Linked DNA regions of Stegostoma tigrinum. The protein of the gene in region 2 purifies or fractionates together with the protein of the main gene of each other region. This does not show direct contact. Links are inferred from orthologs where the notes say so. Each region holds a gene or a part of one and is shown on either strand. Other genes may lie near its edges.

Region 1 (8,775 bases), on a different chromosome or scaffold from region 2:
ATCATCAGCACATTCAATCTAGAGAATGCTTATTCAACAGCACCACTTAAATCTAAAACTTGCAACTGTTAGATGGAATTCTTAATCTAATAGCACTGTGAAAGTGTATACAGTGCATAGATTGCAGTAGTGTAAGGGTAGAAGATTCGTAGTTTTCTCATGTGCATCTAGAAATGCATAATAAATGCTGGGCTTGCTTATGATACCCATAGTCAAGAATTAGTGTAAATAAACAATGGATTAATGAAAGACCAGACTGTGATACATTAAATCTCAACAAGATAGCAGGGTGTAAATGCAGATGATTGAAAGCTAAATTTAAAGCAGTAGGTATACATTTTATTAAATTACAATGAACATTTGGAAAAATCATCATACAGGTTAATGGAGAAAAAAAATTGTGGTTATTCATCATGCAATTATCAGCTGTGAAAACAAGTTATACATTTTCTAGCCATTCATAGTCTTTTTTTGAATAAGTGAAGCTGTCTTAAAAAGGCTTAGGTGGTGGATGGCGTGCCGATTGAGCAAACAGCATTGGCCCGGATAGTCTGGGCATGAAGTGAGTATCTCAGCAGCCTCAACTTGTGTTTAGTAGATGATGGCAAGGCTTTAGGAATTTGGGGGCTGACTGCTGGCTGGCTCAAGAAACTACAGCATTTTGTTCTGGGCTGAATTGCTCGTCAATTTCAATGGTAGAAGATTCAAAGATGGTCAGGTCAACAAATGACAAGGAAAGGTAGTTAGACTTTTATCATTAAGTAGTGACTACCTACTGCTTGTGTATAAATCTAACTTGCCACTTGTTGATTCAAGCAGATGGTAATGAAAAGAATCTTTCTAGCAATAAGCACTAAAGCAATGAGTTCTAATGGTCCAACTTTTCTCATTCTGAGCTTTAAATGACATAGATTCACAACAATATTGTCAGAGGTGTCAAATGTATCTGATCCCTGGTAGATCATGAAAAGGAGATGATCACTCTTTTCAGAGAGTAACTAAGTCATCATAGAGAAAGAAGAAGCAAAAATCAGAGAATAAGATTCTTCTACACAAGTCCTAGCAGCTTGCCGGGTAATGGTACAGAGAAATTCAAATTTATTTTGCAATTTCATAACATTATTTAATTTAGATATCAGGATAATTGAGGGCACAATATTATGATTTCCATTAGCCGTAAATTGTTCCATGGTAATTTGTTGGCCAGCTTTCAGTGGGTCCTACCGGAACATTCTTTTCATAAACAACATTCTGGCATGTAAACTCAACCCACAGAGCAAAGAATAAATAAAGTCATATGAACGGACAGATTGAACTGCACAAAGGCAGACATTGTTGAGAAATGTTAACTCATTCTAACGTGAAGCATTTTTACTAGAATTATAGAGAATGTACTCAGATAATATAAGGCCTAAGGTTTCAAACTTTAAAACTTCAAACTTTAAAACTTTCTTAAATTTAATTTCTAACTTAAAGGACAGGGATACGGTCAATCTCCTATTTACCAGTTTGTTGGCATCTCATGATCTCCAGTAATGCTTGATTGCCCCTACTCCAACTGTGCAACTTAACACAAATTTAGAATTTTGATACTTCTCGAAGACAAGCAATCTTATGGTCTATTTGAGTGAGACTGCAATTGTTTCCAAATATTCATTGTTGCATTTGGAAATAAACCAGAAAACCAAAAAAACTCAAACCTACATCCTACATGTAATATTTAATCTTAAAGCAACTGGCTACTGGCATTGACAATATCGTTTGTAGAAGAGTCCGGTATAAGAACAAAGAACAAAGAAAATTACAGCACAGGAACAGGCCCTTCGGCCCTCCAAGCCTGCGCCGATCAAGATCCTCTGTCTAACCTGTCATCTATTTTCTAAGGGTCTGTGTCCCTTTGCTCCCTGCCCATCCATGTACCTGTCCAAATATATCTTAAAAGACACAATCATGTCTGCGTCTACCACCTCCGCTAGCAACACGTTCCAGGCACCCACTACCCTCTGTGTAAAGAACTTTCCGCGCATATCTCCCTTAAACTTTCCTCCTCTCACTTTGAACTCATGACCCCTAGTAATTGAGTCCCCCACTCTGGGAAAAAGCTTCTTGCTACCACCCTGTCTATACCCCTCATGATTTTGTAGACCTCAGTCAGGTCCCCCCTCAATCTCTGTCTTTCTAATGTAAATAATCCTAAATTACTCAACCTCTCTTCATAGCTAGCACCCTCCATACCAGGCAACATCCTGGTGAACCTCCTCTGCACCCTCTCCAAAGCATCCACATCCTTTTGGTAATGTATGAGTAAGGTTATCATAAATAAAGAGATAAGAAGGTATAGGGAATAGGTGGAAATGTGGAGCAATGAGATCACCCGGGATCTTATTAGCTGGCAGAGCAGCATGAGGAACCAAGTGGCTGACTCATGCTGCTAATCCACATATTTGTATCAGTAAGCATCTCACTTTGTTCCAAAGCTCAATCACAGGTATGTGCCCAATCAGCATCACAGGACATTGACTGCTTTAACAATTACCAACTTGTTAATTTAAGTTATTTAAATTTGAGCTAATTTTTACTATTAATATTTGTATCCTCTTTTTGGAGGATGGAGAAAGTGGGGTACTTTGTAGTTACTTTGGGTTTTGCTGACCAAATACAAGACTGGATAAGGCAACATAGTGATTCATATTTTATTAGCTAAAGCAGAGTTCAAACCTTGATCAATAAATATTTATATTTTAATTAGCTTATTCAAACATGTTAGGATACACCTCTATGACAAGTAGGACTTAAACCCAGACTTTCTGACCCAATGGGAGGAGACTATCAAACTGCCACAAGATACTAAATTATTTTCAATGAAGCTGTACTGATGTATGATGATATACCCTCAGAATGGATAGGACGTGAGCCCTGGTGTAGGGATATTACCTTTGTGCACAAGAACCCCTCACCTTAGTCCTATATGTTACTTTGGAAGACTTATCATGTACCAGTGAATCATATTTATTTGTAGCATTTCCTTTGGTTCTTTTCAGGTTACCAGCAATCAGAGATTTTCTTACTCTTGCTTTCTGGGGAATTAATGTGTTCAGATACAGAAAATTAAGCCTAAGCCTTTGGTCCTCATAACGTGCCTTGAGGTTACAGGGAAAAATCAATATTCCATTAACTTTCCTTTATTTCAATTTGCAGATGGTAACAGAGCTTACTGTTCCAGCTTCGGATTTATTTGTCAAAAAAACTTATTATTTACCATTAATTGCACTAATTAAGTGTATTAATTAGTTATATATTTATGTGTATACAGATTCAATGTAAGAGCTTAAGAAATAGGTGCGGGACAAGTCCAGTCAACATTTCCAGCCTCCAGAGATCCTCAAGGTTATCTTCACTTTCCTAAAAGGCCCCATCCCCCCATTCACAAACACCCATCCTATCATGTCCTTTCATTCCATCAACTTGGTCTTGAATATAGTCTACAACTACTCATCCATAGCCTTCTCAGATGGAAATTTCCAAAGGTCCACAAACCTCTTAGCAAAGAAAGTTCTTCAGAGCTCAGTTTGAAATGGCTGTCCCCTTATTCTGATATTATGTCCCCCCTTTCCTCATTATCATATAGAGATACATATATGTTTATTTTCTTCCACTCTATCATATAGATAAACATGTTTATTTATCTTCCACTTCATCATACAGACCTATGTGTTTGTTACCTTCCTCTTTATTTTATATATATACACACATAGAACAATTAGGCACATTCGTTATTGTTATGAGGCAGGCAACACATCCACAAAGATTGATTCGAGTGGTGAAATTCAAATGTTAAACAAATATTTTAGGAAAATGCCACAACTTTAAGGATACTTTGCACCGAACATACCTCTGATAGTCCAGATTGTACCCAGCTTGGCATCCTGAACAATGATGATGGCATTCGCCAGTAGAAGGGGAAGAAGTCAGGATCGAGGTTTTCCCCAAAATGCTGGTCATAGATACGGGAGGGGAAGAGGAAATTTGGCATGAGGGAGCGCCGTAGCCATGGAGTCTGAACTGCAATGTCCATCTTCACTTTCCTCTAAAATTAGCAGGATGTGTATCAGTGTGGTTGTGCTGTCTTCAGTCCAGGGGCTGGTTGAAGGCCAGTTGGTGTCTCAGTCCTTTATATACACAATGACGCCGAACGTGTTGAACTTTCTGGAAAACTGATGAAAGGCTGATTGACTCTGTCATGTGATTTCATTGTTTAGGGATTTATGTTTTAGGGGGGAGGATTAGAACTGACACAAGCAGTGGACCAGTCTCTGCGTTGCTGGATAAAGCTCTGCTGATCACTCTTTTCCTCTGCTGGCACTGCTTCAGAATGCCACAGAAGATGACCTCATGGCATTTCAATAGGAGACCATTGTACTGAGAGGAATATTATGTTGTTTCGGGTTTTGTTTTAAAAAATGAATGATTAAAGATTTTATTTCCTTTTGTGTCTCTGTCTGATCGTTTATCTGAATGTTGAATTTAAACATTGAAGATGGCAAACAGAAGGATTGCAATTCAGAAATAGACTCCCAGTGATAAGCCTCTGATGTCAACTTTCTGGGTATGTGTAGTTTCTGGCAGTGACTGAATGCTTAACAGAGAATTATCTGGACAGAACTATTTCATTCTCTCGCCGTGTTTTATGTCTTCCAGAGTCTTTAAAAAGTAAGGAAGACTGTAAGTGAAATAATTATCTCATAGAATAATTGTCTCATTTCTCCATACTGAAAAAAAAACAAATTAACCAGAGCAAAATAGCTATTTCAGAAGATGCTGGATTCCTTATACGTCCTTCCAAAATTGCAATGTAAAGTTACTCCAGTACTTACTCTTATAATTGCCCTTAGTAAGGACCGAAGTCGCTAACAGCTGTAATATTAAAATGTGCACTACACTAAAATTAGTACAAATGACTATGTACTTGCAGATAGAATTATCCATCACAAAATAACTTTTAATGGCCAACTTTTAAAAATGTTTCGTTATATTTATTTTCATTGGGACATTCGAAGCATGGTTTTAAAGTTATTTTCTAAAAAGTTTTCTACAGAATTGACACTGCGCACATAGCTGGTCAGTGCAACGACGAGTCTGCCTCAACTTGGAAACCAGTGATAGATCGTTGTGATTTCACGTGGCTTGGAATGAAAGTAACACTTGGATGGTGCTTCTCTCTATGCAGCTGCCTCATGGTCATCCAGGAGAACTCCTTCTCTCGCTTTGTCCTTCCCACGGAAACAGACCCGAGTAACCTACAGAAGGAATTTTATTTGTGAATCCTTACTGACCAAAAGTAGTTCAGCCATTTTTTTTAAAAAATTCTTTATAGATGAAGTGTTGTCGTATGTAATTTTGACCATTCGTCTCCGCATGTTTATAAACTTTTAATTTTACAGGAACTGAGAATGCTGGAGAAACTCGGCAGTTCCGCCAGAATCTGTTGGAAGGGTGACTGGACTTGGAATGTTATTTCGCTGTCCGTAGCTGTTGCCAGACCTGCCGAGTTTCTCTAGCTTTCTCTGTTTTCGTTTCAGATTTCCAACATAGTTCTTTGTTTTATTTCATTTTACAGGTCGTCCTGAGTGGATTCTGAATTCCCTAACCAGAAGACAATGTGAGCAACCCACAACCAGGGCACAAAACAGTATCTTGGAGAGAAAGCAGTGTTAACAGTTCCAGTACAGTCACCTCTCGGGATGATGCCAGACCTTGGAGAGTTTCTCCAGCAATTGCTTGTTGTGTTTCAGATTTCCAACAGTTCTTTGATTTATAAAAACAAGGTCCAGGGTGTAATAGTAGTGAGCATATGTGCTTCCCAGAGGAGATCTCCAGTGGTTTAGGAACGTTCCCATTCTTTCTCAGTGTCCTAGTCTATTTCCGTCCTAGTTTAACAGCCCCCTCCCTCAGGAATGTCCAGACAGAAACCACGCTCAGCTTCCTGAGACGGAGTGACCTCAGTCTGCTGCTGGGTCAGGCTGAACAGACCAGTGTGTTTGGTGCTGGGCTTATGTGCTCGCTGACCCCTACAATGGAGGACAAGACCATCCCACATGCTTACCCGATGAGTGTAGAGTACGAGAAGGAAACACCGACAGTTATCCACGACCAGAACTTCGGGGAAGGTTAGTTTATTTCGGCTTTTGACAGTGAAGTTGTGCGTGACCATTGCATCCCTGTCAAGCACAGCTCTGTGTGTTTCAATAGTTTCGAATCCGGGCTGAGTGAATTTCCCAAAAATCCACTGCTTGTAGTTGGGGCTACAGTAAACAGCCCTGTGTGTTTTGGAAGGACATGTGAATTCTTAAGTGAATTCGTACTAGTTATAACTTCAAATAGTGCTGCAGAGACTCAGCAGGTTTAGCAGCATCCGTACTGAGTCCAGTCTGACTTTTCGCGGTATTTACAGGTGATGTTGAACCCTGCTTAACGCGCCCTCTCTGAAAGTGCAGTGCAGTAGACCATGCATCCAGGAGCTGCTAACCACATCTTCCAGCGTACACTTCTCGCCTTCACCCTACAGCCTTCCGATCTCTGCTTTAAAGCCAGCACTGTATTCCCTGGACCCCACTATCCTTCAAAAATGATCAGAGCTGTACAGTCTGGAGGTGGCACCGAATGGCCTGACCGACCATCTTCTAACGTGTGTGTTTGGTGAGGGAGGGATATGTGCGTTTGAAGATCCGCAGAATACAATTCTGGGCCGTCTGTACATAACTGTGTAACTCCCAGGGCCCAGGGACAACATTACACCCACTAATATCCAGGATGTGCAGAGCGTTAAAACAGCACCAGTAAGCTAACAACATTTAAATTCAAATTTTTTCCTCACTGAATAGCATATCATACTTTTGAATATAAAGTAAAGCATTTTTTAAAAATCACGTTAACTTAAATATAATGTAGTTGGATGGTCTGTACTAAAGCTACACCTCTATGTCTTACAGTTTGATAACCTCCAATACATTTTTCAGGTTTGTCACCAGAAGATATTTTAGCTCCTACATTATACCATGGTTACTATATCAGACCCAGGATCAATAAGCAGCTGGACAGAGGCTTTTCAAGAATTGAAACAAAGCATCATAAATTTCGGGTATTTCTGGACGTCTGTCATTTCCTGCCGGATGAGATCACAGTCCGGACAGTGGACAACCTTCTGGAAGTGTCTGGAAGACATCCGCAGAAACTGGACAGTCATGGGTTTATCTCCCGGGAGTTCACCCGTACCTACATCCTACCCCTGGACGTGGACCCTCTGCTTGTTCGGTCATCACTGTCCCATGATGGTATCCTGTGCATTGAGGCGCAGAGAAAAGGAGATGAGATGCAACCCAAAGTAAACCACGTGAAAATCAATGTGGAGTCGGCACCCATGGTAAAGGACCCTGGGGAAGATACCAGAAGAGAGTAACAGAAGGATAAGTAGCTCCTGCAGTAGGAATGGGAAGACCTTCTGTGATTGATTTTGATAGCGGGCCCTCTGCTGAAACACCAGAGTCTACTCTGGAAAACAGGGAGAAATATTACAATGATTGGGTTACAAGTAAGTTATCAGTTATTTAAAGTTGCAAATAAACCTAGAAAAAGACTAATTTTGACGTATTTTAATATCTTCTGTATTTATAAAGCTACTTATTAATATTAGACGCAAATGAAACCTGATGGTTAGTATCACGATTAATTCATGCCTTTACTGTCTTTTGCTCCTGTTCTCTGGAAGAAAATGACACATATTGGAGAACATTTACAAATGTGCCCCTAGCATCTTCCCAGCTTCTTCACACTTTCATGGCTCAGCCTGACTTGCCAGCTAAGGATGCATCTCTCCAGTTTAACTTTCAGGACTGTTGAGTCTGTCTCCTTTTTACGTTTGTTAGCTAAAAGAAGTACCTATGAGGTATTGAGGCTGGGACCTACCTGGTCTCTGCACCTGGCACTGCACTACTTTCCTCTGAGCTATTGGCTAATCCCTTCTGCCATTTCTGATGTACAGCTTGACAAACCAAATCTATTAATAAACATTTTGACAACTAATGTATCCAAAATGTGTTTATTTCATGCCTGTAATGACAACCATTATTGCTTTTTGGCTGCAATTTTAAAAAGGCACTGAAATAATTGTTTGGGGAATGCTCTCAGCTGTTGCTTTTGCGTAACTTATCAACGAAAAAAATTGCATGGGACAGGTCAAACATTTTTCAAAACGATGATATTAACTTTTCGTTGGCCATAATGCAAGACTTTGAGTTCAGAGTTAAATCACTTAAGGGCTATTTTTAACCTGCAACATTGGCGGCAAAACAAGTAGTCTGCATTGTACTGTTGGTATTTAGCCCACGTGATTTTCCAGTGGGGTCTTCAATCGTCTTTCAGTCATTAGTGATAATAAAGTGTGAAGCTGGATGAGCACAGCAGGCCAAGCAGCATCTCAGGAGCACAAAGTATCAGTTTTCCACCACCGCTAGAAATTAAAATTAGCTCTGCAATGTATTATCCCTAAAAATATAATTCCGTGTTTAAAAGCTAAAATGACCAATGACAGAAATCCAAAATACAAGTAGAAAATACACAATAAGTTCAGCAGCAGCTCATAAATTAGAGATTGATATTTCCAGTGGTGATCCTTCAGTGGATTTGACCAAGGTTTTCTGCTAAAATGGGACTCTGTATTTTGCTACTCAAATTGCACACCGGGGAATTCTCCTGAAAGGGGGTGCCGCTGACTATCAA
Region 2 (9,819 bases):
CCAATACTGCTAGTTTTTTTTAAGAAACCATTCCCTCAACATTCTCACATTCACTGATACAAACTGTAATCTGGGACTGACAACACCTCAATTGTTATCGTACTAAAACAATTTAACATATTCCCCAAATACATCAAGTTGAGTTTTTTTTAATTTATTCATTCATGGAATCCATATGTTGCTAGCTAAAATTGCATTTGCTGTCAATCCCTAACAATTCCTTCAGTTCAAGAAGGCAGCTCACCACCACTTTCTCAGGTGCAACTAGGGATGGGCAAGAAATGCAGACCGGCCAGCAATGCCCACATCCCACAAAATGAATAGAAAAAATGACACCAAGCAGGTGGCAATGCGATACCTTCTTGAACTGCTGCAGTTCACAGAGGGTACGAACAAGAGGAGAGTTGAGGAGCTGCGTTCCAATACAGTACTACCCCTTTCCTTCCAGGTCAGAGGCCGTCGTGGATTTAGAAGGTAATGCTGAAAATATGTTTCGTTCACATTATACAGCTGCATTTTCATCAATGACGATGAGGTAATCTCTCTTTGCACAGCCACATGGGAAATGACTTCATCAGCACTGGTGTAAATGAATGCATCTGAATCCATTGAGAGATGGACTGGTTCTGTGATTATTTCTAATTTAATGGAACACTTCCAAACTGTTTTCAGTCTTATCTCCTTTTCCACCATAAGCTCCACATAATTTATGTATCTGACCTCTCTGAAGTAACCTTCGATGACTTTATTCATTTTTACAAGGCAACCACCTACTTCTCTAATGAACATCTGTATCAACTAGCATTTTCACATTATTTTTGACTGCAGCATTAGCACAGACTATTTTAAATGTTGGACCACCATTTTGGGAACTCTGCACTTCGAGCTATATCCAACAAGACAATTAACTTTGTATTTACATAGCATGTGCAATGGAATCAAATATCTCAAAACACACATCTTCTGAGAGTGGTGGGCACCAGTTACCCAGATCTAAAGTGGGGATGTTTGTACAACATTTAGTGTCATCACACAAGAACAAGTATAAAAAGAACAAGGATATTGCAATACTACAATGATTGCCTCAACTCCTGACTTCCCATTGTTAGTCTACAAGACACAATGTCAGGAGGTGATGAAACATTCCCCACTTGCCTAGTTGATTGCAGCAATCACAACACTCAAAAGGCTTTACAAATTCCAGGACAAAACAGCCCTCTTGATCCCCCCTGCCATCAACACACATAGTAGTAATGTGTGCAATTTACAGGAAACACTTAAGTAACTCATCAAGTGTTCTTAAACAGCACCTTCCAAACCCACAACTTCTTCCACCACTAAGGGCAAAGGCAGCAGATACATGTGAACACCACTGCTTGGAAAGACCCCTCCAGGCCAAACACCATTCTGACATGAAATTGTAACACCATTCATTCATCATCACTGGGTAAACCCTTGTACACCCTTCATCCCAGCATTGTGGGAATATCAACCCACACAACCTGAAATAGTTCAGGACAGTGGCTCACCACCTTCTTAAAGATGAGGAATGAGCAATAAACATGAATCTGACCAGTGACTGCCAAATCCTGTGATAGAATTTTAAAAAATTGAATAACTGCAAAATATTGTGGATGATGTAAATCCTAAACAGAGAAAATTCTGGACAAACTCAACAAGTCTGGCAACATCTGTGGTGAGAGAAACAGGCAGGTTCCTCTTCAGTTCTGAAGAAATCATACCAGACTGGGAACATTAACTCTCTCTTTCCATAGATGCTGCCAGATTTGATGAGTTTCTCCAGTGTCTTATGTATTTGAATTTTTTAAAAAATTATTAGTCGCATTTACCTCAGTACAGTGAAGTTTTGTTTTGCAAGCAGTACACGGCAGATCATACTATACAAAGTGCTTAGGTTACTAGATCAGAGTGAAGAATATAATGAAATGGCTGCAAAGAAGGTGCACAAAGAGCCAAATCAACATAAATTTAAAATTTGAGCGGTACACTCAGAAGTCAAGTAACAGAGATGAAGCTGTTGTCGTTGGTATGTGTGTTTAAGCTTTTGTATCTTCTGCCTGACAGATAAGGTTGGAAGATATTGTAACTGGGATCGGAGGAGTCTTTGATTATGTTGGCTGCCTTACTGAGGCAGTGGGAAATATAGATGGAGTCGATGGTTGGAAAGTTGTCTTGCTTGATGAACTGGGCTGTGGTCACAACTCTGTAGTTTAAGATCCTAGGCACGGTAGTTGTCATACCAAACTGTGACACATCCAGAGAGAATGCTTTCTATGATGCATCTATGAAAATTGTTAAGAGTCTTTGCAGACATGTCAAATTTCCCTAGCCTCCTGAAGAAGCACTGGCGTTGTGCTTTCTTGACCATTACGTGATTAAAAATGAAAAATAACCTTACTGATAATAAGTTATCATGGCACTACACACAAGGGCCTTCAGTTTATCCACACTGCACTTGTTATGGTCCCTTTTAATTTACCCAGGTTGTTTGCACCCATGGCAGGGTCACTTTCTTCCAAGGTGAATAAGAAGACATTGAACCACTGCTATCAGTTTCGCTCACCCAAACAGTATTGCATCAACTTAAGACACACGCAAAACGATCAACTACGAATTTCTCAGCTCATGAATGATTGTTTTAATTCCGTGGGGATGGGGTAGGGGAAGAAAGAGATGGAAACAAGCATACAGCCCAATCAAAATAATTTGATAAGCAATCCTCGGAACTACAGCTTGTTTTTAAATCGTACGCTTTTGAAAACTCAGTACGCTGGACTGGCTTCATTTCCTTTGGTTGTGTAAACATTGCCGAGGCGAGTCTGTGGATGGTTTTAGTTTCATCCTGAAACAGGCGCTGGCGTGAACGGGCAGGTAGCAACATAATACATACCTGACAGGAGGTCGCCTTCTCAACATTAAAAAAAACACGTGAAAATCAGTTCTAAGCTTTCTGGATCCCCAAAGATAGTTTTAATTTTGAAAACCTCGGAGGAAAGACACAAATGAAGGTAAAACAACTACACGAACTCTACACTGCCACTCTGGCAACTTTCGTAATTTATATACTTTAGGCAAATACACCCTCATTTTAAAAAAAAAGCAGCGCAGTATTCTCTTTAACTCATTCATACTGCAAAACTCACCAGGTTAGAACAACAAAAGCAGTGATGAGACAGGAGGATGCTGCTGATCGAAGAGCAGGCAGAATGAGTGGGGGATATCTACTGCACCTGAGACACAAAGACAGAGGGGGGAAGAGAGAGTTTTAAAACAAAAACTTAGCACATGGTAAACACCATCCACTGACAGTGCAAGTCGAACTTATTGTTTATTGATAGAGCGAGCTGAAGACTGAATGGACAAGCAGCAATGTAAAAAAAAGACACCCACCTTTCACTCCTTCACATAACATCCAGCCCGGACCGGTTCCAACTCGGACTGAAACGCGAGCTGCCGCTAACGTCACATCACCAACCGCTCCCCGTTCCGAGCGCGCGCCTGTTGATCCCGGAGCGCGACTTCCAGCCGTGTCCCCGCCCCCAACCCCGGAGGCCGCAGGCGCAGTGCAGAGGTAGTTCGCCGCTGGTTCTGGTCTCGGCTGTTCCCGCCGGCGGGTCGTCGCTCTTCCTCCCTTCCCCCAAACACGGCTCCGCCTTGTCTTCCTTCTGCGAATTGCGCCATCCAGTGCCTTTCTCACTGGTCAATCCGTTTCGCGCTCAGTTTGTGATGATTTTTTTGACTGAAGGACCTAAGTGAGTATCTTAGACCCTGTCGACTGAAATGTATATATTTGTCGTTTGTCATTTTGCTCTACCGCTGAATTAGTGATTGTCCCAGTACTTTTCACTTTGTATTTTAATGCTTGAGTCTGCTTGACTCTGAAGATTCATTTGAAACCAGTCTCGTTGTTAGATTATTCATCCTGTTTTAGAATGTGTATTACCTATTCGCTTAGTGAAGGTTGGCATATATTGCCGATCCTAAATGCCCTTATTTGTTAACTAAATAACTGTGGCCTGTGGCTTAGCTCCGTTAAGGGTAAAATCTATAAATGATATGTAAAAAGGGTAAGTCGTCTTAAAGCAAGAATGCGTTGAGAAGATCCTGGCCTCAGAAAGGGGAATCCTAAATTGAAGAATCTACAAATGATTCTTGGGACTTCCACTGTTTGTAAATTGTATTTGTGAATTAATGTCTTGCCTGAAATTAATCTGTCTTTTCAAAACAGATTGTTTATCTCATAACGCATTTGGGAGTCTTGTGTGCAAATTGACTGATGTCCCAATAGTAGCGACAACACTTCAAAAGTAATTCATGAACTGAAATATCTGAGACTTCCTTGAGGTATGGAAGGCATTGTTTGGGCATGCCTTCTCTCTACACCATATAAGCTGTTGCCTCTCAGCGCCTGTCTATTCTCTGATCATCTGGCATTATATTTTTTTTCTCAAATGAAAACAAAGTGTTGCAGGAACAAAGCAGGCCTTAGCAATATTTGTGGTGTAAGAAAAAAATTCAGATGTCTAAGGTTCTTGAGTAGATTTGTCACTCTAGTTGTGAATGCTGCGGTTGGTTCAGGGGCAATCCACCTAACCTGCACATCTTTGGACTGGGGTGGGAAACCGGAGCATCCAGCAGCACTCGGACACAGGGAGCACATGCAAACTTGACACAGACAGTGACCCAAACCTGGGTGCCTGGCATTGTGAGGCAACAGTATTAACCACAGTGCCACCCAACTCGACTTCCTACATGGATGGGTGCAGTGTGAAATACAGAATGCCCATCAACAACCCACGGACAGTAGAACACAGTGGCCACAGGATGGTGAAGACAATGATCAACAACGCATACAACTGGCTCCATAGATATGACAGAGAAATTACACGCCGAAAAACCCTATTTCTAGACGCTACCAACCTAGACTGGACAACAGACTTAGAATGAGCCAATAATGTCAGTCAACAGATAACAAGAACCAAGAAAACACAGATCCTCTAAGAAAAACTAGCCAAACTAACTCACCAAAAGGACAACCGTAGGTCAGACACTTGGATAAAAAAAACTTTCAGACAGGAAACTAACAGACATAGAAAAAGCTGTTCTAATACGTGTACTCAACTATACCATAGACACGCTAACAAGACAGAATTTCTTGCCACACTAGAAGCCACACTCAAGACCAACAGCATCAATGAGGAAACGCAACAAGCTGTAAGACAGACAATAATCCTGACACTGACCAGCAGGAGCGAATATTACATTCTCAACACATCAGAATGGAAGGCCCTCGAAGGACTGATAAAAGACAAAAATGTCATAATACTAAACAAACGGGACTACCTCACTAATGCACAGACACTACTAGCAGACACAAGCATGTACTGGCAAGTGCAAATAGACCCAACAGCTGGGTAATAAAATAATCTACACACTAAAGAGACTCAAACAGACCAGACACATCAACAAAACAGACCACCCAAAAATGGAACCAGAAGCGACAAACACCCCATAATTCTGCAGCCTCACAAAGGTACACAAACTGGAAGTACCCCTCAGACCCATAGTCTCCCTCTCAGGCACACCAACACACAGGTTAGCCAAGAAGTTACAACGAAGTCTAAAGCACCTCGTCAGCAAGTCAACTCACTCAATCCACTCAGCCCAGGAGTTCGTCACTTCCCTCAAGGACGTAAGAATAGTTGATGATGAGACCATGGTGTCCTTTCACATTACTGCCCTATTCACATCGATTGACGTACCACTGACAAGGGAAACACTTGCAACACTGCTAAAAGAACAAGACCTGAGTGACACCATCTCCACAGACTATGTGCTGAAAATACTGGACTTAGGCCTCATGACCATCTTTACTGTTAATGGACAGATCAATGAACAGATCAGCGGGATACCCATGGGGTCACCTATCTCCAGACTAATAGCTTAAGCGGTGATGCAGAGACTCGAAAGCATGGCCCTTCCACAAATCCAACACAAAGTATGGATCCGATTTGTGGATGATACTTTCATCGTCTTCAAACAGACCAAACTAGAGGAGACACACCAACTAATAAACAACACACTCATTGGCATCAGATTCACCACAGAAGAGGAAAAGAACGAATAGCTCCTATTCCTGGACATTGTGGTAGAACGCAGGGCCAACGGGGAACTCCTGATGAAGTACACAGAAAAGCCACACACATTGATCAAGCACTGAATTTCGTCAGTAACCACCCCAACATCCACGAACAAAGCTGCGTGAAAACACTATTTAAACAAGCGGCAACATGCTGTAGCAACCCGGAGCTATGCCAAAAAGAAGAACAGTACCTCCTCCAAGTATTTAAGGACAATGGATACCCGAACAACTAGATCCGACGATGCCTATCATACAAACAACAACAGGAAGATACCACATGCACTAACGCATTCATCATGCTACCATACGTTGAGAAAATGTCTGAACTGACCACAAGACTCCTATGACCATTGGGCATTAGAGTAGCACACAAACTCAGTCAACCCTACGCCAACTGCTCATTGGAACCAAGGACCCCTTATCCACTTTGGACAGAACCAACATAATGTACAGAATTCCATGCAAGGACTACGACAAATGTTTCATCGGACAGACAAGAAGAAAGTTGGCCGCAAGTACGTGACCACCAACTAGCAACAAAAAGACTCACTCGTCTCCGTTCACACGGATAAGAAGAACTACCAGTTTGATTGGAACAAACCAGGATCCTAGGACAGGCCAAACAGAGACAAGCATGGGAATTCCTAGAGGCCTCGTTCTCCACCAAGAAGGCCGTCAACAAACCCATAGAACTAGACCCTATATATACACCACTGTGAAGGAAAACCAGAAATGAGGTAACCAAATCCAATGGACCCCAGAGTTTAAATACCAGGTGGGAAAACACAGTAGTGCTTTATTGGTGGCTGCACTGATGATGTTACCCAGCAGGGTAATAAAATGCCTGCAAATTAACGAACGAGCTTGGCGAGTGAACCAATCTCAAAATTTAGACGTCATACAACACCAGGTTATAGTCCCAACAGCTTTATTTGAAATCACAAGCTCTGTGGCACTGCTGTTTCATCAGATGAAGTGAATTTATCTACCCCAGTCCAACACTGGCACCTCCACATCAAAAGAAACAAATGACTTCTGTTTAAAATTTGTTGTTGAGATGTGAGCAACAGTGGCTCGGCCACCATTTATTGGGCCATCCCTAATTGGCCAGGGGACAGTTAAGAGTCAAATGCATAGCTGTAGGTCTGGAGTTGCATATAGGCCAGACCTGAAAAAGGATGGCAGGTTCCTATCCCTAGAGGCCATTTATGAACCAGATGGGATTTTAAAACAATTGATGGTGGTTACATGGTTGCTATATTATTACAGAATTTTATATTTTAAAATAGAATTTCACCATCTGCTTTGTGGGATTTAAACCAATGCCCCAGAACATTAGCCTGGGCTTCTGAATTACTAGACCATTCTTACTTTTACCATTATACCACCACTGCCACCACCAACACCTTCCCCCACCTACCCCCCCAATATTACATTTACTTGCTGCATGTGTTTTCAGTGGGGTGAGAACATGTCATAAGGTTGAGCAGCTAACCCATTGTTTCTCATCACTTATTCTAAATTCAGTTGATGCCAATATTACACTTTCTTTCTCCTTTTAGTTTTCTTGTGGAGAAAAATTAAGGAAACTAAAGAACAATCCACTCAAAGTATTCATTACAGGTAAACATTTTAAATATTGGGAATTAATATATTAGGAGGGGAAGAAAGGCAAATTTTATTACCAAACAGTTATGCACTTGTGGCAAGTATGTTTAAGCGGTCAGTAAATCTGTATATCCTTTTTTGACAAATAAAGCAAATAAGATATGAAACTAAGAAGAAATGTTAACTTTCCTGAACCTAATTTGTTTTGTGATCTTAAGAGAGCTTCAACTAATTGTTATACCATTCTTCAGAGTATGAAGAAGAACTGGCAGCAAAGGATTAAGGACATTGAAACTTTGGCAAGCAGTTATCAGAAAAACCCCATCAGGCAGACTTACAGACCAAAACTTTCAAAACCATGGCAACCATCATCAGTTTGGAAGTTGTTTCATCGCCAGCATCAAGCTTTTAATTTTGTCAAGAGTTGTAAGGCGGTAAAGTAAAATATATTGTTGTATTTTAGAAATGTGAATTGAGATTCATTGTACAATGATTATCATCTGGATTCCTAGGAAGGAAGTAAGCATTCTCTGAACAACTGGAGGAGTCATTGGCCTAGTGGTATTATTGCTAGACTATTAATCCAGAAACTCGGCTGATGGTCTGAGGGACCCGGGTTCAAATCCCACCATGGCGGATGGTGGAATTTGAATTTTAAAAAAATCCTGGAATTAAGAATCTGCTGATCACCATGAAATCATTGCCAATTGTCGGAAAAACACATCTGGCTCACTAATGTCCCTCAGGGGACTAAATCTGTCATCCTCACCTGGTCTGTCTTACATGTGACTCCAGACCCACAGCAATACAGTTGACTCTCAGCTGCCCTCTGAAATGGCCTAGCAAGCCACTCGGTGTGCCAATTGCTATGAAGTCTCAAAGAAATGAAACTGGACGGATCACCTGGCAGCGACCTAGGCACCAGAAAAGACAATAGCAGAAACAGCCTTTTAACCCTGCAAAGTTCTCGTCACTAACACCTGGGGGTTAGTGCCAAAATTGGGCTAGCTGCCTCACAGACTATTTAAGCAACAGCCTGACATTGTCTGTAAGGTATGATTCTGTGAGTATGACAATGTCCCAGTCACCACCATCACCATCTCTGGGTATGTCTTGTCCCACGACAGGACAGACCCAGCAAAGTTGGAGGCACAGTGATATACAGTTGGGATGGTGTTGCTGTAGGAGTCCTCAATGTTGAAGGCTTCATGGCTTAAGGTTAAACGTGGGCACGGAAACCTCCTGGAGATAACCATGTACTGTCCTCCCTCAGCTGATGAATTGGTAATCCTCCATGTTGAACAACACTTAGAGGAAGCGCTGAGGATGACAAGGGCACAAAATGTACTCTGGGTGGGGGATTTCAATGTCCAACACCAAGAGTGGCTCAGCAGCAGTACTACCGATCAAGCTGGTTGGGTCCTAACAGACCTAGCTGCTAGACTGGGTCTGCAGCAGGTGGTGAGGGAATCAACATGAGGGAAAAGCATACTTGACCTCATCCTTACTAATCTGCCAGCTGCAGTTGCATCTATTGCTGACAGTATCAGTAAGATTGATCATTGCACAGTCCTTGTGGAGATGAAGTCCTGCCTTCGCATTGAGAACAACTTCCAATTTGTTGTGTAGCACAATCACTGTGCTAAATGAGACAGACTTTGCACAGATCAAGCACTCAAGACTAGGCATCCATGAGGCGCTGTGGGCCTTAACAGCTGCAGAGGTGTACCCAGCACAATCTGTAACCTCATGGCCCAGCATATCCCCAACTCGACTATTACCGTTAAGCCAGTGGATCAACCCTGGTTCAATGGATAGTGCAGGAGGGCATGCCAGAAGCAGCACCAGGTATACCTGATCATGAGATATCAACCTCGTAAAGCCACCAAAGAGGACTACTTGCATGTCAAACAGCGAAAGCAGCAAGTGATAGACAGAGCCAAGGAATCCCACAGCCAATGGATCAGATCTAAGCTCTGCAGTCCTGCCACATCCAGTTGTGAATGTTGGTGGACAATGAAACAACCCACTGCAGGAGGAGGCTCCAC

Evidence for each region.
Region 1: the proteins of casp3b (region 2) and cryabb purify together in Homo sapiens (affinity purification with western blotting; 3 studies listed by BioGRID). This does not show direct contact. The link is inferred for Stegostoma tigrinum from reciprocal best matches to the Homo sapiens genes CASP3 and CRYAB.

Annotation. Positions count from the first base shown.
Region 1 is NC_081385.1:12,615,819-12,624,593, forward strand, and holds the start of cryabb (crystallin, alpha B, b), read right to left. Parts: upstream 4,291-8,775; 5' UTR 4,076-4,290; coding exon 3,893-4,075; intron 1-3,892. Other genes in the region: hspb2 (heat shock protein beta-2), read left to right, coding at 5,852-6,167, 7,017-7,456. UniProt on the Homo sapiens protein: May contribute to the transparency and refractive index of the lens. Has chaperone-like activity, preventing aggregation of various proteins under a wide range of stress conditions.
Region 2 is NC_081356.1:113,752,741-113,762,559, reverse strand, and holds the start of casp3b (caspase-3b), read right to left. Parts: upstream 3,616-9,819; 5' UTR 3,412-3,615; intron 3,252-3,411; 5' UTR 3,165-3,251; intron 1-3,164. Other genes in the region: primpol (DNA-directed primase/polymerase protein), read left to right, coding at 8,026-8,205. UniProt on the Homo sapiens protein: Thiol protease that acts as a major effector caspase involved in the execution phase of apoptosis. Following cleavage and activation by initiator caspases (CASP8, CASP9 and/or CASP10), mediates execution of apoptosis by catalyzing cleavage of many proteins.